3 linked regions of the Arabidopsis thaliana genome follow. The protein of the gene in region 2 binds, or shares a complex with, the protein of the main gene of each other region. Each region holds a gene or a part of one and is shown on either strand. Other genes may lie near its edges.

Region 1 (7,270 bases), on a different chromosome or scaffold from region 2:
ACCTGTGTAACTCAGTCAAAATCGGCCTAAAAAGTGTGACAATATTTTTTTTTTAAAAGTATGCTAAGAAATTAAAAGCCGAAAAATAAAAATGGAAGAAATATGAATTTAATTAAGAAAAAGTGGGGACTGGGGAGAGTAAGCACATGGGGTGGGAGAAAAATCTTTCTGGCTTTACTTTTGGGAATTACGCAAAACTCTCTTCATGTGCCATTCTTTACTTTTTCCCCCACATAATTCCATTTTTTTTTTCAAGATTTGCAATCTCATCGAAATTAATGGCTAACAACACATGATGAATATGATTGATAAACAAACATTTTCATGAAAATTTGGTGCATATGAGCTAAAATGTTGAAGACAAAAAAATATATACATAATTGTGGCTGAAACGATGGGTAGATGTAGGGTGTGAGCAAGAGAGACACATGCATGATGCACCCAATATAGAATCTTATAAAACATTGGCTAGATGAGATGGACAAAGTCCATTTTTACTCTTTGTAGTCCAAATAAACCGAATCCGGTTACAAATCCTAGTATTTAGAGTTCATAATATGGTTGTTGTAGATGCATTAAGAATATGATATATTTGTAAATTAGCTAAAGGTTTATGTACATTTTAGATTTCCTTTTTAAAATTGTTAAATAAAGCAATGACATGGTTGTAACTATTAAAATTTGTCAATGGTAAAAAGAAGTTCAAAAGTGTTACTTTTCTTAACACGCGTTGATAGTGTTATCCTTACAGCACTTTTTGTTTTGTTTGAATGAGCTAGTTATTATACTTTATAAGTAGTATAATCTCGAATAAAGAATGTGAAATTTTGAAGAGGAAAAAAAAAGGTTGGCTACTTGGGTCATGGTTGGTTTAGATTAACGAGCCCTCTCCCTGCTCTTCCTGTCATTCTCTCTTCCCCATACCCAATAGAAACTTGTGTGTTGTAACTCCGATCTCACCAACTCAAATAAATAAGTAATCATGTTCTTGTTGTTTCTAATTTATGACTTGATGTGTAAGTGTCGCATATCTTTTAACCTTGTCCGGTTTATATATTTCTTTTGCTTTCTTTTACGAAGGAAATGGTCTTAAGTAATAAAAATATGCTTTTATCTGCCTAACAGAAAAGCCTGCTTTCACGTCAAAAAGAAATCAAGAAAAAGTTGCTTTTTCCAAAAAGAGCTAAAAAAAAAACAGAGAGAGGTACACCGGAAAAACAACAACAGAAAGAGTTACATTTAATTTGGCCCGATTAAAGCCCATTTATGCTCTTACAGGCTCTCTCGGACCCATTGACATTTGTTCTATTATGTTTAGATGAAACTCGGCGTTTTTTTTTTTTTTTTTACTCCGTTATTTATTTGCCTTTGGGACTGGTCTGGTGAGTCCAGTGGTCGTTTCTCGTGTACTCGAGTCTCATCGGAAAGTCTTCGACTGAGTTCGTCGCTTCCATCTTTTTATGGCTTAATCTCCTTTTTTTGGTCAGGTGGAAGATAAAAAAACCTTTGGAACTGCTGTCTCAAAATCTTGAAGACAATGTGTCATTGGAACCGACTGGAATTAGCCTGCGACTACTGAAATATGAGACTCTTATGTAGAAAGTTTTAATGTCTATGTCAAGAGAGACAAAGTTTGGTCAGTTGTACTTTGAGGACAGTGATTTGACTGACACTGGACAATGTAACGACAAGAGATCAACATTAACAAACAAAATAAAATTACTTGATTGCTAATGTAGGACAATAACTGCTTGTCTTCACAGGGTTAAGCGAAGGAAGAGAGAGCTTCTCTGTTGTATCAAAATGGCTAATATATTGCAATAACAGGTTTGAAACAAATAAACACAATTGAATTAATAATAAGCTCTCTACCTCCCCCTCTTTCTCTCTTCAAGGTAACTATTGATTGATTAGAGGCTAATAATCTCTTACATGATTCAATCTATATAATATAAAGTCTCTCGTTTATCACACAATCTCAAAAGTGGAGTTTAAAATCATCAGACTGAGTTGGGTCATCGTCATCAATGCCGAGTCACTATCCTCCCACACAGAACATTTCTGCACATACAAAATAAACACAAAGGTGAAATCAGTACCCTTCATAAGATTGTAGATGCAGAGTTTGTAAAGATTTGTATATATACTCACGATAAACAGCCGTGATTCGACTTTTGCTTCTTCTTCTTCTTAGTCTTCTCCTTTTGTTTAACCAGAGGTTTGATCACTTCCTTTATCGCAGAATCAAAAACTGCTTTCACATTCTGCAATATATAAACTTCATCGCTTTGTTAATCCGAAGAAAAGAGTAACATAAAGAAGCTGCCTCATATACCTGTTGAGTTTTTGAACTACACTCAATGTAATACGTCGCACCAATTAGCTTACGCAACTCCTCTCCCTATCAGATAGAAATGTTCATTTAGTTAATACCATCAAGCCTTATAGTGGAATTATATGAAATCTAAAGTAAAAAGGCTCTTTAAGACTAAACCTGTGCAGTAGTTACAGGGGATAGTCCAGGATGATCAGCCAAATAATGCTTATCTTCACGAAGATCTACACCAGTGTTGTAAGAATCATTAGCTATGAATTGTAACTAAACGGTTAAGAGGAATCTGTTGGTAAATGCTCATCGGTTATTCTTACCTAATTTGGTACCAACAAGGACAAGGGGAACTCCTGGAGCAAAGTGTTGGAGTTCAGGGATCCACTGACTCAATAAGAACAGTCATATAACATTAGAAATGACTCATTCTGACACTATAAGAGTCTTATCGTTTTCAACAATTAGAGAAAAGGATCATTTATTCAATCAGACCTTTTTAAAAACATTCTCGTAGCTAGCTCGGCTGACTAATGAGAAAGACAAGACGAAAACATCTGCTCCCCTGTAACTTAAAGGCCTTAATCTGTTATAGTCTTCTTGCCCTGCAAACAAAGGATATACATATGTAACCTCATATGAGACAAAGCTATTCAATGGATCTCATTTATCAACCAAATGAAAGAACTAGACCAATAAGAATGTTATAAACCACTATAGGATTCAAGACTCAGAAAGAGTGTTCATACCAGCAGTGTCCCAAAGCCCCAAATTGACAGTGGTGCCTTCAACAACAACATTTGCACTAAAGTTGTCAAAAACTGTTGGTATGTAGTCCTGTTACAAACAATTCATCAAATCAATACACAGTTTCAAACTTTCAATCATCAAATCAAGCATATATACATATAATAATAATAATAATAGCAATGAAGAAAAAGTCTGACGAATCCAGACTCCAGAGGATGTTAAATGAAAAAAGATAACATAAAGCTGGACTATACACAAAAGCTGCAAAAACCCAGATGCGCCACACATACTTATGAAAAGTAAAAAAAATCAAAATCTCCAAAAATGGATCTTATATCATGCACAGTTCCTAGGAAAAAGGAGCTAACTTTGACATACCCAGATAGATTCTAAGAACCTTTATGGCAATAAGAAGCTGAAATTTAGTAGACCCAGATACTGAAATTGATTAAAATTTTGTAAAATTTGAGCTAAATCTGATAAATCCAGATGAGATTCCTGATCAAAATTCAAGAGAGAAAGAGAGGTCTTTTTAAAGAGAACTTACAGTGGGGAATTTATTGCTGGTGTAGCAGATGAGCATACAGGTTTTACCAACAGCACCATCACCAACAGTCACACACTTGATGAACTTTGAAGCACTTGAAGCCATTTTGATCTCAAAACAAACATACAAAGCAAATACCAAAAGGAAGCAAAAGAAATAGAGAGAGAGAGAGAGATAAATGAAGTGAGATTACTTAAAAAGAGGAGTAAAAGATAAATAAACCCTCTTTAGAGCATAGAAGAAGGTAGGGTTTGTTGCATAAATTTATGGCTTTTTTTTCTGTTCCTTTTTTACTTTTTTCTGTTTGTTTTTTCAATATTTCCAATTAGATAAACGAAATTGTTTATTGGTATTTGGTGGCTTGTTTTTGGTTTGAACTTGAAGATAGAGAAAGAGCGGTGATGACTCACATGATCCATCGTCCAAGCTTTCCTTTTCCAAATTCTTGTAGTTCATTTATTACTCCAACGAGCAAATTTGCATTGGAATTTGTTAACCAAATCTTGGTGGTTCAATCTTGTTTTTTTTTTTTTAAGTGTTTATTACACTTGTATTGGATTGTAAGAAAATGAAATAATGTGTATTACATACAAGTATGGCGTTACGAATCGAATTATAAGAGAAGGTAGATATTCGTCAAGTTAATAATAGTGTCACGTTGAGCCACACAGTGACAAGTGAAGATGGATATACCATATTTGTATACATTAACATGTACTGTCGAATACATGTTTTGCTATTTTTGTTTTTCTCTCGAGACTTACATATCATATAATGTATATAGCATAACTTACAAGCTAGGGTTACAAAATATATAAAATAATAGAATATCATAGCAACAAAAATTTATAGCAAAATCACTAAGACCAACCTTTCAACATTACTTATATCACAATTCACAAGTGTAAAACTGATAATTCTAAAATTGTAATTTTAGTTTAGGATATTCATTTATTATATTAGGATATATGGATTTTTTTATGTGGACCTACTTTTAAAAAAACTTATCATCTAATTTAATTTACTCAAGATATTTAAAATTGCCAACAAGAGTTTCGTTGGCAACAACCAGCAATAAAAATTCTCAATATTCACAAAGCAACTTTTAATACAGTTATTAAAAATTGAATACTCTTACCAAATAGTTCCTTTTTGTTTGTTTATGGATATAATTGCAGACTCATGGTTTAGAAAGTAAAAGTGTTTTTGTCATGTGTTTAAATAATCATTTATAGGTGGATGTTGGAGCCAAACTGTGTGAACATCTACCAAAAGCAGAAGATAAATGATTTTATTTTATAAGGTAAGTTAATTATTGGAGTAATACCTACGACTATATCGACGGCGACGCAACCACCATAAATATGAAAATGCAAAAGTATTGTTAACTAGAGAGGTCTTCAAAAGGACGACCACGGGAACTTATCGCTCTCTGGTCCAATATTTTAGTATTTTGCAAGTTATTTCCACCAAAAGCTCCAAAATACAAGTACAAATTAAAGTAGCTGATTAATAATACAATACAATGACAAAAGTATGGCCTAAACCAGATAAATATAGAGACTAGTAAGAACGAAAATCGCAAAAGGAGACTAGTAATCACATTAAACTAAATCAATATATGTGTATGTGTGTACAAGTGAATCCATAACTTTTGGTCTCTAAGGAAGACATGTAACAGGAGCATATGTCGTGCTGGTGTAAGGATAGCGTCATTGAAAAGAAACAAGAACAAACGATAAATATATATTTCCACAACAGTTGATGCGCGTAAAAGCAAAACGTGATTAACAGTGGAAATTATCCATAAAGTGAAAAAGACTTGAAGATCACAAATCCGAGTTTTGGCAGTAAGAAATATGGTTATTGGATTTGAAGTTGGGTTAATATTGAAAAAGTAAAAGTTTTTTCGAATATATCATATGAACTCAACAAACAAATGCAACGGGCCCGACAACTCAATATATGGGCCACATCCGAAACGAGCCGACCCACGTAATGGAAGTCCCTTGCCAGGTCACGTGTTTTCTCCCTCTTTGTTCCTATCGGTCCCTTCTTTTATTGTTTTCTTTAATTTGCTGTTTCTTTTGGTCTTATGAATTTTGAACCATTCTTATGAATCTGAAGGTGAATCGATTCTTCGGTACAGTTTTCTCTCTAGAACATGTAAATCGTTATGTAGTTCCTTAATAAATTGAGAGAAACGAAAAAATGTATTTGAATGTTTTGATCAATGATCGTCATTCGTTTATGGCTTCCAATAGAAAGGTTTGAAGTTTGAATTGGGAAAAGTGTTGTTGGTTCATTACATACTACCCCAAACGATTGATAGTTTCTTCTCTTTACTCGGCTTTAACGGTAACTATATCTTTGGAAAACAGAAAAGTTTTTGAGTGGAATTTTAAAAATGAGTATAGATTATAAAAATAAAGAAATCATGTCAAGCAACCATGATTAACTAAATCATTACTTCCACATATGCTAAACAGCTAATTTACATAAAATTATATTATATTAGCCACAACAAGTTCAATATCCCCTCAAAAAAGAAACAAAATATTGCTTCTCTTTCAAGAAACATAAAATTTGGTTGATAAATAAATTAATTAAACTGGGAAAATAATAAAATTAATTCAAAGTTGATTATATAAACAGAATGATTAAATAAGAAAACGCGACAGACTCCAAAAACGATGTAAACCAAACCAGTCAACCATTTTGACAGCCTTTTCCCCGCCGCCAGAAACGCAAACGCGTTTCTCACACGCGCCCACTAACTTTCAATGATCTCATTACGCGGCGTCAACGCAGACAACGACGTCGGCGAAATCGCCGGAGCTTTACCTGAGTAAACCGGGACAGAAGCGAATCGGGTCGAGAAGCTTCGTAATCCACCTAGTCCGACGTATTCATCCTCCTCGTCGTCGTCATCGAAGTTCAAAGAGTAACTCAAAGGATCGTATTGAAACTTCTCGCTTGCGTCCCAATCGCGGCCGCGTCGTGGATCGCGATTGAATCGACGAATGAAAGTCTTCCACCGTGGACCAGCAACGATTTCTGACCACTCTCGGATCTTCAAGGATGCTCGGATCCACCAACGTGGCTCGTCGCCGTGGTCGCCGCTGTGATTACTGTCATCGACGGTTCGAATTCGTCCCCAGGAGGAGTAACCAACGGCGGTGGAGCTTCTTGATCGGCGGAAGCTGGGGAAACAACAGCAACGTTGATCGTACCGGGTATCAGGATCTCGGGTTGGGTCCGACTGCGAAAGTTCCATGGGCCGAAACTCAGAGAAGTTTTTTCTTGGGTCAAAAGACTCGTGATGATAATATAACTTGATTCAAGTTTTAGCTGTAAAGGATTATGATTGGTCCTATTTATTATATGCACACTTGACACTTGTAATATAAATTAAGAAATTGTTATTTTTTCTATGTTATTATATGCACACTTGACACTTTTACGAATCATGGCTGTAAATATTAAAACCTTAGAAACTCAATTATCGATCAACACGATTGAGAATCATAAAAAGTGTTAAACAATTTCTTAGGCTGGTGAAAACGAGTCTTAGAAAAAATAAATATCTTGAGCTAGAATCCGTTATAAGATAGTTACTTTCCTAACAATGTTTTTAGGAATACACT
Region 2 (7,596 bases):
ACTAATCATAGTAATTGAAAGAATGTTTATCTTTTACTTATCATGCTAAATTTACACTATATTTCGTTTCTTAAGTTTTATAGTGACCATAATAATTCGTCTTTTGATGCATTTGTTGGCAAATGAGGTAATATAGAAATAAATTACATGGATAAAGATAATATATAACCTACGAGATTTGATGAATGATGAAACTATACAAAATATATAATCTTCATTGATATCATTGGTGGGAAGTTCTGTTAATTTAAATTATTTTGTATGTTGTTACTTGTTACATTGCACTTTAAATTTTAAATTTATTTAGTTTTCAACCGAATTATGGTATATTTTCTTCAATATTTGATTATGTGCATCGAAATAACTTTAAACTTCTTTATTGAAAATCATGTGTAAATAGTAAATCATTAGTAAATAAATTCAATACTTTCTTACCATATTGTTCAAAGATGGAAGAAATAGTAAATAATTTGAATATTAATTGTATAAAGTATTTAGAGTTCTTTTGATATCAATTAGTATTAATATATCAATATTCATATATGTTAATCTTACTCATTAATCAAGACTTTATCAATCTCACAACTTCAAATCTATTAACTACTTTACAATTTACACACATACTATAATCAATATGATATATACTTATGAAATCTTTTACTCAGAGAAATATTGCATATCATTTTCATATATTTAAATAAAACACAAGGCTTATCTTGTATATCAATATTATAATTTTTCTTTTTTGATCAATTCGATAATTTTTAATTTATAAATACCCAAAATAATTTTAGATTATAATTCATAAACTAAATGTTTAGTTTAAAACTAAAATATCATAATCACAATATTTATGATATTTTTTATTGAATGTATTATAAAATAATTAATATTATATTAATATATATTAGTTATAGACATATATTTCACTACATTCATTTCACCCACGCATCGCGTGGGACATTTTCTAGTAGTTAATTAATTATTGTCACTGATATCTAAAAACTAGGTAGAATGGGTTAGTCTCTGCCAAAAAAAAAAAAGTCAAATGTTTTCATGAAGTGGATTTGGTTGTCATTACCAAAGACAATCTAGTGGGCCGTCTCAGCGTTTAGTGCGCAACAAAAAGGAAAATAGACAGAAGAAAATGTCAAAAGGAAGATCCAAGACTTGAGAGGTATTCATGTGGCTTCTTAATTAGAGTTTCACATTCTATTACAAACTTTTACTTTACACTCTTGACTCTTCTATACATGTAAAGTGTAAACCAATGTACAGGACCAAACTAAATTTGCTACTAGCAGCTCACACTCAGACAAGTAAGGTATAATTTTTCAAGTATTGAATTCAAACAACATTTCACAATACAAATTTCATCAACAAATGTGGCAACGTTTCAACAAAAAAATTAAACTTAGACAAATCGAAATTTTATAAATTTACATACAACAATAATGCCATTTTTATTAAATCAAGTAAAAAGAATCAGTATTATTATTACTTATGGTTTTTCTTGAGTAACACACCAAACTTCTTCAACATTTTGCTAGTCTCAATAGAATCTGTTCTTTCCTCATCATTGTTCAGTATAGAAGCTGCCGTCTCAGCAGCTTTCCTCCATTGCTCACATTGAATCTTCACTCTTTTAAGCTCAGCTTCCATGGCTTCCGTGTTTGCGGTTTCCACTTTCTTCTCCATTGCACTCCTTAGAATCTGCAACTCCATCTCTTTATCCATTAAACTCCCTCTCACTTCCATCAAATCCGATTCTAGCTTCTTCAAATCGCCCGTAGATTCGTCTTCTTTCACCTTCTCCATTAACTCTTTGCGCAAACCTTCGATTTCATCTTTGGTTCTGTTCAATTCTTCCGTTAACTCTGCTTCTCTCTGTGAATATCTTGATTTAACCGCCTCTGTTTGTTCGTATGCGCTTCTTATCTGCAATGTGCTCTGTATATACTCTTCTTGATACCTTGTCTCTGCTGCTTCAACTGCAGATTTCAATTGTGTTATCTCTTGCCTTGAAAGATTCATTGCTTCTTTCAGCTCTTCCACTTCCATTGATGATGAAGAGTCTCTACTGTTTACTCTTTCTTCCTCGAGCTGTCTGACGAGTTTCTCTAAAGACCTTACCTCATACTTAGACTGCTCTAACTCAGACTCGGACTCAAAGAGCTTCGATTTCAGTTTCTGAACTTCGTTAATGGCAGAAGACAGAGCGGTAGAATCCATTCCGTGTTGTCTCTGCATAGCTTCAAGTTCAGACTGCCATGTCTTGTCTCGCTCCTGCGAGAGTTTACGCAGCTCCTCAATTCTTGAATCTTCCGAGGCATTGATATCCATTAACTGATGCTTGGCATCTTCAGCTTCTTCTTGAGCTTCTCTTTTCAATGCTTCTGATCTGTTTAGCTCTTCTTTTGCCTTCTTAAGCTCTTCTTGAAGCTGAGATATCGTAGATTCCAGTTCCGGTATCCTTCCCGTCCGCTTCTTCTGAATCTTGAAAAGAACATAATCAAGAATCACCATATATAAAACTTGCATACACCAAACCAAACCAACAATTTTTAACTGCAAAAGTACCTCATTGAGAGGGATTCTTGCAGAGCGACGATCAGCTACTACTTTCGGGATTTGAGTTTTCGATATTGTCTTGGTTTTTGGATCGGATTCTGCTCCGCTTGGTTTGAGTCTCCTAACAACTTTGGGAGCTGGTAAAGGAGACTTCTTTTGTGGCAGCTCCAATGATCCTGGCCTATCACACACAATCACAATCACTTTGAAACAGATCAATAACTCCAACAACATTCACAACAAGAACACAAAGTTAGAGTTGTGATCATCACCTTGATTTTGGAGTCTGCATTTTTGGAGTTTAAAAACCTTTTCTTTTGGGGATATAATCAATTGCGTTATGATTGCTTCTTTGAAGAATCTGACAAATAGTACATGAAGACCAATGGAAAGTGTGAGAAAGAAGCAACAGAGGGAAAAAAAAAACTTATCATAAGCATATAGACAACCAAACTCAGGGAAGAAAGAAAGCTTAAGCAAGTGTACGAAAAAAACATAAGAATAATATTTACACATTTAGCTTCAAAGAGACTCCTATTACCACCAAACGAAAGCAAAGAGACAACAAATGAATATTGTAATGATTTGGAACAATTCCAAATATATAAAATATTTAGAAGTGTAATTAGAAAAGAAGTTGCCGTCAATGTGATTCATCAAATCACCAAAGATAAACCCTATTACAAGCAAAGAAAGCACCAATATCTTACACATAATCTTTCTGGTTGTTAAGTCACCCAGTTATTTTATTTTATTTTTTACTAAATCAAAGTTTTGGAATTATTGGGAAGAAGAGACAATTTCTTGTCATTTTGTAATGTGAGATTTGGTTTCATTGGGTGGATCTTCCCAAAAAAGAAACACAGATCCAAAAACAGAACACCCAGCAAAAAAATCGTTTTTACATAAAGCCTAAAACTAGAGAATCTTTTAACATTCTCTGCAAAAAGGTGTTTTATTACAGAAACACTTTTGCTTTTTGCAGGAAAACAAAGATTAAAGTTTTTTTTGACTGAATCTTTAAGCTACCAAACCAAAATAAAAGTTAGCTGATTTGAGTAGATGTAAGCAAATTTATACCTTAAACCAACCAAAGATTAACACTTTCTTCAGCAAATTAGTAGAAAAAACAAACTAGTAGTAAATATCTACCTAACAAGATTGATAAACTTCTGAGAAAAAAAAGGAAAAAATCGCACTAAAATTAGGAATAAATCAATGTGAAAGGAAGAGAAGTTTCTGAGTGTTTGAAAAAGTCGTGAAGAAGTATTCACCTATACCGTCGATTCAGCTTCTTTTTTTGTTGGATTAAAATGGAGAACTGCAGAATCAAGGCACCAGCACTTAGATGATTTGATCTTTCCTCTTTCTCGTCGGATTGTTATTCTTTTTTTCTCACTGGACTCGCGAGTCGTTTTTTCCCACTGAAGAAACATTTATTTTCAACTAAACTGCAATATTTATCAAAAGTAACCCCTGAAGTAATGATTGTGCTGTTTCCACCTCAATTTTCAGTACTTAGTTATTTTTATAATCCTTTTACGTTGGATTCCTTTTGGTTATTCCGAAAAATTAAAATTAAAATTTTGGATAATCAAAAAAACTTGTGGGGTTGGTAATGAAATAGATCAATAAATATCAGGGGCTATTTTGAAATTAATTGATAGAATGGACCGAAAGTAGAAGAACGTGGAGGGGGCGTTTTTTTAACTACGCGCCTTGTAGACGCGCCCGAGTCACGTGCTATTGTTTGGCCTCATATTGCTACTTATGAACAACGAACGGTCACGCAACCATAAGTCACTCACACACAAAGGACACTAACCTAGCATATCTATATACTTTATAAATGGAAAATTTTCATAAAATTGTCACAATTTTTCACAAAAACACATTAACCTTCCGTGTTCAATCTACATACATTTGAAAGTGCTATATATTGAAGCATGTAACGTTTCACTTTCACACCACCTCATAGAAAACCGATGCATGATAAATACGACATACACATCTCCTAAAAGAAACAATGCAAAATCAATCATCACTATCTTCATTTATCATACACGCTTGCTAATTTACTTAACATATTATTTCCACACAACTTTAACTATATATTTGGGCGGAAAACAAAAATTGGGAGAAAATATCGTTGAAATTTATGCTAACGATCGATTAGCTTGATTACATTAATGGTTTGTAAAAACATTATATTCACTAGTACTAGATTATTAGAGTATTAACTAGTGACTTCTGAACTACTAATCAAATTTTTCTTTTGACGAATAAAAAGAAAGTATTTCAACAATAAATTCACTACACTGTCTGGCTAGTAATTAAATAATTAAACACCACCATGCGATGATGATTATGCAAAAATGTTAGAAATTATTATAAACCATTGATCATAAAACATTTTGAAATTAGCTAGTGTTGTTTCTTTTTTTAATTTTCAGTGACCGAGAGTGAGTGATCGACTGATGATGGGTTGGTTATGTACAAAAAGTCAAAAACTAATTTCATCCGCCTCCCAATTTCCGGTTTTATCCGGTTCTGGCGGACAACGATTTCATTTTTCGATCAAATTTTCGGTTCGATCTAATTCGCGTCGGTTGAACCATACTTGAAACCGTAACTCGTATCCATATGTATCGTTCAAAACTCGACGTAAATTTCACCACACCACTAAAAAGTCTAAAACCATAACGCGGTTCTTTCTTCGTCCTTGTCCCTCAATTTGAATCATTGAAATTGGAGCCAGATTCCACCATTCTCATTTACTCAGACATTGTCGGAAAAATAATCAAAATCTTACGTCAAAGGTTTCTGTTTTTCTTTGTTTTACATTGTGCACACCACCTGCTCGATAAAATGTCTGTGAAACTAACCACTTTGTTGCTAAAGCATTTATGCTGTGAAATTAACTGGCTTGATCCTGAGTTTTAATATAATTTGAATGATGTATATATATACAAGGTATTTGATTACTTTTTTTTGTCTCCCCTTGAAACAGGCCCGTCCTGATATCCAACTTGTTCATCTACATATGAGTTTGCACAAGAATATTCAGTTGTATCTGTTTTGAAGAAGTTTGATATAATGGATTATATTGCCTTCATTCTCGACGAAGATAAAGAATTCTTTGTTTGGTTAGTTGGATGCTTCGTTTAGTGACATGTCTTTCTCGCTGAACCTTCTTTTGCTAGGAAGAACTCGTTTGGATTAAAAAAGGTTAACTGAAATGGCGACAATGTTACGGTTGGGAGCTAGAGTTTCCGTCAGCAACAGTCAGATACTGGCAACATCAAGTGTTGTATCAACCATCAAGACCGAAGAATTAATGAATGATCACATTAATTCCCTATGTAAAAGTAATTTCTACCGGGAAGCATTGGAAGCGTTTGATTTTGCGCAGAAGAACTCAAGCTTCAAGATAAGGTTAAGAACCTACATCTCTTTAATTTGTGCTTGCTCTTCATCGAGATCTCTAGCACAAGGCAGAAAGATACATGATCACATTTTGAATTCCAACTGCAAGTATGATACTATTCTTAATAATCACATTCTAAGTATGTATGGAAAATGTGGCTCGCTGAGGGATGCCAGAGAGGTTTTTGATTTTATGCCTGAAAGGAATTTGGTCTCTTACACATCTGTCATTACTGGCTATTCACAGAACGGTCAGGGAGCCGAGGCTATCAGATTATACTTGAAAATGCTTCAGGAAGATTTAGTTCCTGACCAGTTTGCATTTGGAAGCATTATCAAAGCATGTGCCAGTAGTAGTGATGTTGGGTTAGGGAAGCAACTGCATGCTCAAGTCATTAAGTTGGAATCCAGTTCTCATCTTATTGCTCAAAATGCTCTGATTGCTATGTATGTTCGCTTCAATCAAATGTCAGATGCTAGCAGAGTGTTTTATGGTATCCCAATGAAGGATCTAATTTCGTGGAGTTCAATCATTGCAGGGTTCTCGCAACTTGGGTTTGAGTTTGAAGCCCTGAGCCACCTAAAAGAAATGTTGTCTTTTGGTGTTTTCCATCCAAATGAATATATATTTGGTAGTTCTTTAAAAGCTTGTAGCAGTCTCCTTAGACCAGATTATGGAAGCCAAATACATGGGTTATGCATTAAGTCGGAGTTAGCTGGAAACGCAATTGCAGGCTGTTCGCTCTGTGACATGTATGCTAGATGCGGTTTCCTGAATTCTGCAAGGAGAGTGTTTGATCAGATAGAAAGACCCGATACAGCATCATGGAATGTGATCATTGCTGGACTTGCAAATAATGGTTACGCTGATGAGGCTGTATCAGTTTTCTCTCAGATGAGGAGTTCTGGTTTTATTCCTGATGCCATCTCCTTGCGTTCTTTGCTTTGTGCTCAGACAAAACCAATGGCTTTGTCTCAAGGAATGCAAATTCACTCTTACATTATCAAGTGGGGTTTCCTGGCAGATCTTACGGTTTGCAACTCTCTGCTTACCATGTACACCTTCTGCTCAGACTTGTATTGTTGTTTTAATTTATTTGAAGATTTCAGAAACAACGCAGATTCTGTTTCTTGGAATACTATTCTGACGGCTTGTTTGCAACACGAACAGCCAGTAGAGATGTTGAGATTGTTTAAGCTGATGCTTGTGTCTGAATGTGAGCCAGATCACATAACTATGGGTAATCTGTTGCGGGGTTGTGTGGAAATCTCATCTCTAAAGTTGGGAAGCCAAGTCCATTGCTATAGTTTGAAAACCGGGTTGGCGCCTGAGCAATTTATAAAAAATGGACTGATTGATATGTATGCCAAGTGTGGATCACTGGGGCAAGCGAGAAGGATTTTTGATTCAATGGATAACAGAGATGTAGTTTCGTGGAGCACCTTGATAGTTGGATATGCACAGTCTGGATTTGGAGAGGAAGCTCTCATATTGTTCAAGGAAATGAAAAGTGCGGGCATAGAGCCAAATCATGTAACTTTTGTCGGTGTTCTTACTGCCTGTAGTCATGTTGGGCTGGTGGAAGAAGGCTTGAAACT
Region 3 (10,932 bases), about 14 Mb from region 2:
TGCAAACTAAACATCTTACTATAAAGATGAGGGTAATATGCTAGAAAGCAAACTCAAACAATAGTAGCTGATGAGAAGAATCTAACTCCAGATAAAAGGTAAACTATAAAAGTGATAAGCCATTGACTGTTCGATTTACACCTTATAAAATTTTCTCAGGTTCAACGTCTCTGAAGCTTGCTATAAAGCTATCCATTATCAAACTCAAAACAAAGAAGAAGCGAACAAAATTTTCAACACGATCAAAGATAAAATTTAAAAAATATTCGAAAACCCCCTTACCTTATGGCAGAGCCGAATTCTTTTGCTGCGAGACAAGAACAAAAACAGACAAGAAGAAGAAATCGTCAATACACATAAAAATTCTGAGAAATTTCGAGAAAAAAAAGTGGACATTGCAAGCGAAACTGTTGATTAACCTTTCAGGATCAGGCTGAGGAAATTGGCCATGGACGGGGGAGAAAATTTCACGAGCTCGTCTAACAGATTTTAGACTGAGTTTTTTCAGTGACTGAGTTTCGACCTCCCTGTTCAAAGCTATCATCGTCATTCTAGGGTTTTACACGAACAATCAGAAACAGAACGAGAAAGACGGAAGAGAAGAGAGGGAAATAGGATTTTATCCGACCCGAACACTATTTATACGTAGCCCAACACTCGAATCCCCACCCGTTGGACCAAACCCGGCTCATTAAGCGTCGGTTCAGATTTATTTCCTTTATTTAAAAAAAAGGAAAGGGTAAAAAATAGAAAATTGGAAACAGTTAAAGCCCAAAATTGTAATTTACCGAGAATTGTAAATTTACCTGAAAACCCTACGCTATAGTTTCGACTATAAATACCAAACTTAGGACCTCACTTCAGAATCCCCTCGTCGCTGCGTCTCTCTCCCGCAACCTTCGATTTTCGTTTATTCGCATCCATCGGAGAGAGAAAACAATCAATAAGCGACCATGTTGGTGTACCAAGATCTTCTCACCGGTAAGCTCAATAATTCCTTAATCTCGGTATGAACTGTGTAGCTATCGATCTTTTTCTTCCGATCGGAATAAATCATGTTATCGAATTGTTAGATCTGTCATCGCATCATAGGTTTTTCGTTGATTTGCTGCTCTTTGCATTGATAATTCAAATCTTAGGGGATTAGTTTATGTGATTTGGTTAGATCTGTGATTCATTAGTATATAAACGTCCTTTAATTGAGCTTACCGATTCGTTGTAGATTGGATTTTAGGGTTTATTCGCTTGTATCGATTAATGTTTGGGATCTTATGAGTAATGACTAAAGAGTCTGGGCTATTGATTTACAGGTGATGAGCTTCTGTCTGACTCTTTCCCTTACAAGGAGATTGAGAATGGAATCCTCTGGGAAGTAGAAGGAAAGGTCAGTGTCATCGATTCTACTTCAAGTTTTGTTTTGATTTTGTTAAATTTTTGTTTTCCTGTTCTGAATTGGGTTTTGATTTTGTTATCCAGTGGGTTACTGTGGGAGCTGTAGATGTTAACATTGGTGCCAATCCATCTGCTGAAGAAGGTGGTGAGGATGAAGGTGTTGATGACTCTACTCAAAAGGTTGTTGACATTGTCGACACCTTCAGACTTCAGGAGCAACCAACTTATGACAAGAAGGGATTCATCGCTTACATTAAGAAATACATTAAGCTTTTGACACCCAAGCTCAGCGAAGAAGATCAAGCTGTCTTCAAGAAGGGTATTGAGGGAGCTACCAAGTTTTTGCTCCCCAGGCTCAGTGACTTCCAATTGTAAGTTACCCCAATCTATCGTATCTTGCTTGTTATACATGACATATATTTCATCTGAAATCTCATCAATGCTTGTGTTGTCTGATTTTACAGCTTTGTTGGGGAGGGTATGCATGATGACAGCACTTTGGTCTTTGCTTACTACAAGGAGGGTTCAACTAACCCAACATTTTTGTACTTCGCTCATGGTTTGAAGGAGGTCAAGTGCTGAGAGAGAAGCTCTCGTTGGGTTACTGTGGTCGGTCGCAGCGACTCTCTAAGTTTATGTTTCTTTATATTGTCCTGTGTTTCGTCGTCGTCCCCTATTAAAATTACCTGCCAGTTTACTTTTCTCTCTTCTTGTTTTCTGTGTTGGAAGATTCTCAAGTTATTTATTCCGCAAAAAACGGTTTATCATTTACAATTAGTTGAATTTTGGTCGTTACTTTTTGTGTTATTTGGTGTGATATCTCTTCAGCTTTGCTTTTCTAAATTAAACTCCCGAATCTCGAGGCATGTTTATAGTAGATGTCTAATAATTTTGGATTCAGATCTTATGGACGTGAATAAACGAGTGGGTTACTCTAACTGTTAGTAACTTTAAATCATGGAATATGCTGTAGAATGATTCTTTTGACTTTAGTCTAATGGTGTTTTATCCCTTTAAAAAGAAAAAGTTTCGTACAGACATGATGTCTTGAGACATCATCATAGGCATGTTCTGCTCCTTATCAAGGATTTCTATCTCACGTGCGGAATCGATACTAACTAGAGTTCTGTCATCTTGGTTTTAGTTGTGAGACAAATCACAATGTGGCCGTAATAATAATGTATTATGTGTATTCTTTTACTTTGACAAACAACACAACCTATCCTATGCTTTACTATTCTTTTAGTTTGTTGGTTTTATTATTCGAACTATTTATTTATGTATGTGTGGTGTCCGTATGGATGAGAGGGCAACCAAAATGCGTTGGTACGTATTTGTGTCTCACGTAAAAGGAAACGTGATTTGGTCTTGGTCGGTTTGACGTTGCTCCAACTCTCTTGTATCTTATGTATTTATCGTCATTATTTCTTCAAACTTTGTTGTTCCTTTCGTTTTAGGCTTTTAGCCTACACTATTTAAACATTTCTTATGTAACAAGTAGTATCAACTTCTATCTATATGACTATATTGACGTAGCCATACAAAGGAGGTAGATCATCTAAACTTACACAAAACTAGAGAGACCAATGTTTTTAGGAAGGATAAATAAAGGAAAAGCTCCTTTCATACTGGTTTATATAGTGATTACTTAAAATCAGGAATCCTTTAGATCGGAATGCTTTAGGCTAAAGCAAAAGCTTTTTGATTCAAAAGAAAGGAACCCACAAGCTGTATTAGCCCCACTTCGCTACTTTTGCATATTCTCGTTCGTATATTTTATTGGATTAACACTTTTTTTTGGGGTTTAAACAGTACACATACATACACAAGATTGGTACTTTTGATATACACTCACTTATATTCGCACATCTAAACAATTCAAAATTTGAAACCGTATAAAAATTTAAACAAACATAAGAATATATAAGATTAGATCATTGTCATGTACTAAAATTCCAAAAGTTGTGGATTTCATGTCGAGAAAAACTCATGTCATCTTCCTCGGACAATTTCAAATTTCATCTCTATTACCATAGATGGTCCAAAACAACATCCTTAAATACCATAAAGTAGCTAAAATCTGAAAATGCACATAACTGATCAACCCACCAAGGTTATATTATTAGTTATACTACATATATAATAAACCAATCAATGTTTATGCAATCTGCTCAAAAAGGTATGAGATTCATACCGTATGATTCAAGATGAGAACATCAATTCTATTTTTATGTCACCATGTTGGTATATGTCCTTGTGTCACGATCTCAGCAAAAAAATAATATTTCAACACTATCTTTTAGAATATATAAGACCGTTCAAAGAAGATTGTTTCAAATGTTTTGGACTAGACTGTACAATCTTAAAAAGTAGGACAAATCGGTGAATATTTCTGAAGTTAAAGGGTGATCTAACTGTCACTTTTTTAAAAAACTTTTAAACACCTCAAACTTTTTAATTTATTGTGTAAGTGTCTTATACTTTGTCAAATCTTCTTCAACGCCCCTCTCTTTCTCATCTCTCTGCGCCTAACGTCGCTTACGGAAGAAGACGAAAATTTTGAACAGAAGCTCTCTCTCTCTATCTCTCTATCTCTCTATCTCTAACGCTATTCGATGTGCGTAAATTAGGGTTCTTCACTCGTCGGATCTGATTGTATATTGTGAAAATCTCAGATCTCAGATCTCTTATCTAACACCGTTGCGTGTCTTCGTTTCCTTCTGGTAATCATTACTTTGGATAACATCGATCTTCTTCTCCGATTATTGGATGCAATTTATTGATTGAATTTCAGATTTTGAAGGAGGTGAAGCAAAGTCGGGAGCTGTACATTTCCGCTTTCATGTTCTGTGTTGAATCCGAATTCTCTCCACATTGTGAGTTTCTCTTCGATTTGAATCTAACATTCTATTGTTGAAATTAGGAATTTTTTGATTTGTAACAAATGGGTGATTCTGGTTTTTGTATGGATGAAGAGTTGTTTTTACAGATCTCCGAAGTTGGCTCCTCAAAGAAGATCACAGCGCCTCATGGGCGGCCAAATGCAGCAAAACAATGCTGCGGCTGCGACGGCGCTTTACGATGGGGCTTTACCCACTAATGACGCAGGAGATGCAGTCATGGCACGGTGGCTTCAATCCGCTGGTTTGCAGCATTTGGCGTCTCCTGTTGCTTCTACAGGCAATGATCAGCGTCACCTCCCAAACCTTCTCATGCAGGTAATTGCTTTCCCTGATTCTTTGTTTCTGTACTCTTCCAATATTTTGCATGCCCTTTAGTTTTCTTGATGGAGTTTGCCCTAGCTTGGTAAAGTATGCAAATTTTGTATTAGACGCAGATAGCCAAGTTTTGTTAGAGTTTTCGGTCGCTAATTCCTGCGCACATTTGGTGTTAGACTACTAAAAACGCTGCAGTAGGAAATTAGGAATGTAGGATTGTTTCTCCCTGTTATGGATATTAGTCATAACGTATCTCAAGGAGAGCTTGGAATTTGTTTGGCCATTTATGTAATGTGATTAAGTTAGATGTTTGCTGCAGGGTTGTTAGTGATTTCTTCTTCGATTGGTAAATTTCTATAGAAACTTTTGCCTTGGCTCTTGTATAATTCGCATGAACGGGTTCTGATATTTGAAGCATCCTTTGTGGTGTTTGCGGTATCTGCTAGGGTTATGGAGCTCAGACTGCTGAAGAGAAACAAAGACTGTTCCAACTAATGAGAAATCTCAATTTTAATGGGGAGTCGACTTCTGAATCATATACACCAACTGCTCACACATCAGCAGCTATGCCCTCTTCGGAAGGATTTTTTTCACCTGAGTTCAGAGGTGATTTTGGAGCAGGATTATTGGATCTTCATGCAATGGATGATACAGAGCTTCTATCTGAGGTATGCTTGGAAGAAGAACTAGTGCAAAGACTTATTCATAGTTACTCATTAGTGCCCATGGATAACAGAAAGATCATAAATTTTCATCATCAGATTGTCTGTTCTTGTGTTACATCCCAGTTTTCAAACTGTTCTTGCCAATCTTACATTGCCATATTGAGTCCCACCTAATCCATTGGCTTTGTGCACATGTAATCTATCTGCGAGACTTCTGTAGGCAACTTCTGATCTTGACACTCGAATGGATTTAGCGAGATGTGACAGTTTTGGTCTTGTTGTCATTAGAAAAGCATCTGAGCTAAATAACTGCTTGTTGCATTTGCTAGTTCATAAAGAAAGCGATTATCCATGTGAAAGTTACCAACTTTTATGATACGTGACTTTCCTTTCATTTTGCAGCATGTGATTACCGAACCCTTTGAGCCGTCACCTTTCATGCCTAGTGTAAATAAAGAATTTGAAGAAGACTATAATTTGGCAGCTAATCGTCAACAGCGGCAACAGACAGAAGCTGAACCTTTGGGTTTATTGCCTAAAAGTGATAAAGAAAATAACAGTGTAGCCAAGATTAAAGTAGTGGTAGGTCATTCACTTGAGAACTGACATGTTTCCTTACTACTTGATTGTTTTATAAGCAACGTTCATTATGACTAGGGATGATTGGGAAACCACTTTTTTTTTTGTCTATAGGTAAGGAAAAGACCCCTAAACAAGAAAGAAACAGCTAAAAAGGAGGAGGATGTCGTGACGGTATCTGATAATTCTTTGACTGTCCATGAGCCCAGAGTGAAGGTTTGTGTGCATTCTTCATCATAGATAACAATGGCAAACATGATTCAGTTGAACAACTGAACGATGGCATCCTGCTATTAAAGGTCATATATTCTTTTCATTTAATATTGTCTTTTCGAATATTGAATGAACCGTAATCTTGTTGGTGCAGGTTGATTTGACTGCTTATGTGGAAAAGCATGAGTTCTGCTTTGATGCTGTTCTAGATGAGGATGTTTCAAATGACGAGGTAAGTTAAGAATTGAGCTTATTGGAAACCATAGAAAATCCTATTAGGTGTCCGTGATGCAACCTTGAGCTTTGGTAGATTTATGATTTATGTCAAGGTCGACATACCTGATTGACCTATTAACTAGATCATAGCATGTGGTTTCCCCCAATCCAGATTGGATTGATGTATGGATACATTAAGCTTTTTATATATACAGAAGCTTTATGCTGCTTTGAACATGTTTGTTTGTTTCCTTGAATAGGTGTATCGGGCCACAATTGAGCCAATAATTCCCATTATTTTCCAGAGAACTAAAGCTACATGCTTTGCATATGGCCAAACAGGTATGCAATGACATTAATGTTCATTGGGAAATACACTGATAGTTATACTCTTGCTAACAGATTCCAGTTTTTAGAGGATAATAGATTAATAGTTTCTTCATGCTTTCATGGCCCTAATGATGTTTTGCTTATTCAGGTAGTGGTAAGACATTTACAATGAAACCATTACCTATACGAGCAGTTGAAGATCTTATGAGGTTGTTGCGTCAACCAGTATACAGCAATCAGAGGTTTAAATTGTGGCTCAGCTATTTTGAGATATATGGTGGAAAGCTGTTCGATCTTCTCAGTGAGAGAAAGTTAGTGTTCTTTCTTTTTCTCATTTCTTATAAATGTCGTCTTTGTTGAGGGGTTTTATGTTTTCCTTTTCTTTTGGCATATACTTTGTTCAGGCATATACTAGCTTATAATTGTTATTTCGATGTCAGTATATCGTAAACATTGGCACTTATTCATCCTATCAGTGTCAATACTTTCCATTGTTGTCTACTACTATCGCAAATGCATGTTTACCATTGTCTAAATCATTCAGTTATTGCCGAGTAGGAAACTTTGCATGCGAGAAGATGGTAGACAGCAAGTTTGCATTGTTGGCCTGCAAGAATATGAAGTTTCAGATGTACAAATTGTAAAGGATTTTATCGAGAAAGGAAATGCCGAAAGGAGCACAGGTTCAACTGGAGCAAATGAGGAATCTTCTAGATCGCATGCCATCCTACAGCTTGTTGTAAAAAAGCATGTTGAGGTAAAAGACACTAGACGGAGGAATAATGATAGTAATGAATTGCCTGGGAAAGTTGTGGGAAAGATTTCTTTCATTGACCTTGCTGGCAGTGAAAGAGGTGCAGACACCACAGACAATGATCGCCAGACAAGGTAAAGATTCTCTTTGCCCCTGTGATTGAGTAGTTTGAGAATTGACCTACCACTAATGTGTAGATTAAAATTTATGCCTCTGTTGGACTTGTGGGCATTGATAAAGTGGCACTTTGCTGCTACCTTTTTACTTTAGGACCACCACACTTCAGATCTAAATGCTTCATTGTTTTCATTGTGGATTTTTCTTAGGATTGAAGGCGCAGAAATCAACAAGAGTCTCTTGGCTCTTAAGGAATGTATACGTGCACTGGACAATGACCAGCTACATATACCATTTCGTGGAAGCAAACTAACGGAAGTGCTCCGTGACTCATTTGTTGGAAACTCAAGAACGGTGATGATTTCCTGCATCTCTCCAAATGCAGGATCGTGTGAACATACCCTCAATACTCTAAGATATGCTGATCGGTATGTTTTGTACAAACTATAGCCTCTTGTGAAACAAATTCTCAATTTCATCGTCTATTAACCTCTGTTGGTTATGTATGGAATAAACAGAGTCAAAAGTCTATCTAAAAGTGGAAATAGCAAGAAAGATCAAACTGCGAATTCAATGCCTCCGGTTAATAAGGATCCTTTGTTGGGCCCAAATGATGTAGAAGATGTCTTTGAGCCTCCACAGGAAGTGAATGTACCAGAAACCAGGAGGAGGGTGGTCGAGAAGGACAGCAACAGCAGTACGTCGGGTATTGACTTCAGACAGCCTACAAATTATCGAGAGGAAAGTGGAATCCCATCATTCTCAATGGACAAGGGAAGATCAGAGCCGAACAGTTCTTTTGCTGGCTCCACTAGTCAGAGAAACAACATTTCTTCATATCCCCAAGAAACTTCAGACCGTGAAGAGAAAGTAAAGAAAGTGTCACCACCTCGTGGGAAAGGGTTGCGGGAAGAAAAACCAGACAGACCACAAAATTGGTCTAAAAGAGATGTCAGTTCGTCGGATATCCCTACCTTGACAAATTTTAGACAGAACGCAAGTGAAACTGCTTCAAGGCAATATGAAACCGCTTCAAGGCAATATGAAACCGACCCTTCGCTTGATGAAAACCTCGATGCACTGCTTGAGGTAAAGTACTCACCTATCCCTTTAAAACATGAGATGAAGCTGTGAATTTGATTTGCAAGTAACGGTAGTTCTGTTTATGTCTTATCGTAACCATCACATGACTTTTTTCAGGAAGAAGAAGCTCTGATTGCAGCGCACAGAAAAGAAATTGAGGATACAATGGAGATTGTTCGCGAGGTATGTAAATCACATCATTGCAGCGCACAAAAAACGATTGTAGAATGTTATCACATCATTCAATTTTCTTTTCTGTTATATCATTATCAGGAAATGAAACTTCTAGCGGAGGTGGACCAACCGGGAAGCATGATAGAAAACTATGTGACGCAACTGAGCTTTGTGTTGTCCCGGAAAGCAGCAGGGCTAGTCAGTCTTCAAGCCAGGCTTGCTCGGTTCCAACACCGTCTCAAGGAACAAGAAATACTGAGCCGTAAGAGAGTTCCTCGGTAGTTGGTAGAAGAAGGAAAACCAAAAGTGTGGTGTTGTTTAAGTGTGAAAGGTTGGTTGGGTGATCTCTTCTTATATATGACAAAGAATGACAGAAATGTCCTTCATGTTTGTGAATTTGGGCATTTCTTTCCTTTTATTTTTGAATCTTTATTATAAAGTTATACCTTTTGTGTTTCTTATTTTTCTCTTCTCCTCTATCCTCCCAGAAAGCTGGATACTGTCAATGTGAATCAAACTCTTTTATCAATCAACTGAAAAAGTATAAAACCATTTATCATCTGAAAATGTTTCAAAATTTGGTGAGCCATATATAAAATCAAATTTCTAACAATTAATAAGATCTTCAAATACCATCTATATAGTGACAACCAATGAAAAGACAGTTGAATAGCTCCAAAAGAACAAATAAAGCAATTCTCTCTTGTCGTAAAGATAAAATGGCCAACAAGATTATGCAGCCCAACTAAAAAGGCCTTGGCCCACACTTTACTATTGATCACGTGACATGCCTTTTTCACGATTGCAATATAAGAGCCATTTTCCACCGTCCGATGTTAAAACCCAAACCGATTTAAACCGTCCATGAAAGTCGCTTATCTCCTTCTCCTTCCCGTCGTAGTCGCACTGTCGCAGGCGAGTAAAAGGCGATTTATACAAATACAAAAAAAGCGCATGAAGTTGTTTTTTTTTCTTTCCAGACTTTTGCCTTCTCTAACCAGGTTAGATTCTCGCCATCACTTTTTCTCCTCAATATCAATAGATTCTTCTTTGTATTTTCTGAATTCCTATGAGCAAAATATACCTACGATTTGGAAAATATTAGTTTCACTCCCATTTAATTTAGTGTCTTGTGGATTTAAAAGTAACGAGGATACAAAATTTGGTTGGTGCAGTGTTTCGTGATTTTGGGTGATCCTAGAAATGGGAGATGGGGCTGAGATTGTAACCAGGTTATATGGGGATGAGAAGAAGCTTGCAGAGGATGGTAGAATTAGTGAGTTGGTGGGATCTGATGAAGTGAAGGATAATGAAGAAGAGGTCTTTGAGGAAGCAATTGGTTCGCAGGAGGGTCTAAAACCTGAATCTCTCAAAACCGATGTGTTGCAAGAGGATTTTCCTTTAGCTTCCAATGATGAAGTGTGTGATTTGGAAGAAACAAGTAGAAATGAGAGAGGAGTAGAAAATTTAAAGGTTAATTATTCGGAGATTGGAGAGAGCCATGGTGAGGTTAACGAGCAATGTATAACTACGAAAGAGGCTGATTCTGATTTGGTGACTCTCAAAATGAATGATTATGATCACGGGGAAGTAGCAGATGCAGATATTTCTTATGGTAAAATGGCATCAAGCTTGGATGTGGTTGAGAACAGTGAGAAAGCTACTTCCAATTTAGCTACTGAGGATGTGAATTTGGAAAACGGAAATACACATTCTTCTTCAGAAAATGGAGTAGTCTCTCCTGATGAGAATAAAGAACTGGTGGCGGAAGTTATCTCAGTAAGTGCCTGTTCCGTGGAAACAGGGAGTAATGGTATTGACGACGAAAAATGGGAGGAAGAAATTGATGTATCAGCTGGCATGGTAACAGAACAAAGAAATGGTAAGACTGGTGCTGAGTTCAATAGTGTTAAAATTGTTTCAGGTGACAAATCCTTGAATGATAGTATTGAAGTAGCAGCTGGGACCTTATCTCCATTGGAAAAATCTAGTTCGGAGGAGAAGGGAGAGACTGAAAGTCAAAACAGTAATGGAGGACATGATATTCAATCTAATAAGGAAATTGTAAAGCAGCAAGATAGCAGTGTAAATATAGGTCCAGAGATTAAGGAAAGCCAACATATGGAAAGAGAATCTGAGGTATTAAGTTCTGTTTCACCAACAGAGTCTAGAAGTGATACTGCAGCATTAC

Evidence for each region. Proteins that work in one complex are often made in the same cells at the same time.
Region 1: RIP3 (region 2) and RAC10 share a complex: the UniProt entries of both Arabidopsis thaliana proteins name them as parts of the active ARAC10-IRC5-KIN13A complex.
Region 3: RIP3 (region 2) and KINESIN-13A share a complex: the UniProt entries of both Arabidopsis thaliana proteins name them as parts of the active ARAC10-IRC5-KIN13A complex.

Annotation. Positions count from the first base shown.
Region 1 is NC_003076.8:25,233,694-25,240,963, reverse strand, and holds RAC10 (RAC-like 10), read right to left. Parts: upstream 4,002-7,270; 5' UTR 3,729-4,001; coding exon 3,624-3,728; intron 3,164-3,623; coding exon 3,076-3,163; intron 2,932-3,075; coding exon 2,822-2,931; intron 2,714-2,821; coding exon 2,650-2,713; intron 2,560-2,649; coding exon 2,495-2,559; intron 2,402-2,494; coding exon 2,336-2,401; coding exon of another isoform or gene 2,265-2,335; coding exon 2,152-2,264; intron 2,062-2,151; coding exon 2,025-2,061; 3' UTR 1,702-2,024; downstream 1-1,701. Other genes in the region: AT5G62865 (uncharacterized protein), read right to left, coding at 6,397-6,900. UniProt on the Arabidopsis thaliana protein: Involved in local disassembly of cortical microtubules when associated with ICR5 and KIN13A.
Region 2 is NC_003074.8:19,778,693-19,786,288, forward strand, and holds RIP3 (ROP interactive partner 4), read right to left. Parts: upstream 4,010-7,596; 5' UTR 3,846-4,009; intron 3,539-3,845; exon of another isoform or gene 2,933-3,538; 5' UTR 2,864-2,932; coding exon 2,844-2,863; exon of another isoform or gene 2,806-2,843; coding exon of another isoform or gene 2,753-2,805; coding exon 1,498-2,752; 3' UTR 1,390-1,497; downstream 1-1,389. Other genes in the region: AT3G53360 (Tetratricopeptide repeat (TPR)-like superfamily protein), read left to right, coding at 5,810-7,596. UniProt on the Arabidopsis thaliana protein: ROP effector binding specifically activated ROPs and linking them to the microtubule cytoskeleton. Involved in ROP-regulated polar growth.
Region 3 is NC_003074.8:5,660,751-5,671,682, reverse strand, and holds KINESIN-13A (P-loop containing nucleoside triphosphate hydrolases superfamily protein), read left to right. Parts: upstream 1-3,731; 5' UTR 3,732-4,115; intron 4,116-4,186; 5' UTR 4,187-4,268; intron 4,269-4,367; 5' UTR 4,368-4,421; coding exon 4,422-4,610; intron 4,611-5,056; coding exon 5,057-5,278; intron 5,279-5,677; coding exon 5,678-5,857; intron 5,858-5,968; coding exon 5,969-6,070; intron 6,071-6,221; coding exon 6,222-6,299; intron 6,300-6,543; coding exon 6,544-6,625; intron 6,626-6,761; coding exon 6,762-6,924; intron 6,925-7,171; coding exon 7,172-7,501; intron 7,502-7,693; coding exon 7,694-7,912; intron 7,913-8,002; coding exon 8,003-8,573; intron 8,574-8,684; coding exon 8,685-8,750; intron 8,751-8,840; coding exon 8,841-9,023; 3' UTR 9,024-9,308; downstream 9,309-10,932. Other genes in the region: AT3G16650 (Transducin/WD40 repeat-like superfamily protein), read right to left, coding at 283-307, 420-550; TCTP (translationally controlled tumor protein), read left to right, coding at 954-981, 1,311-1,384, 1,477-1,763, 1,857-1,974; TOC120 (translocon outer complex protein 120), read left to right, coding at 9,945-10,932. UniProt on the Arabidopsis thaliana protein: Internal motor kinesin involved in trichome morphogenesis. Participates in regulating the formation of Golgi-associated vesicles.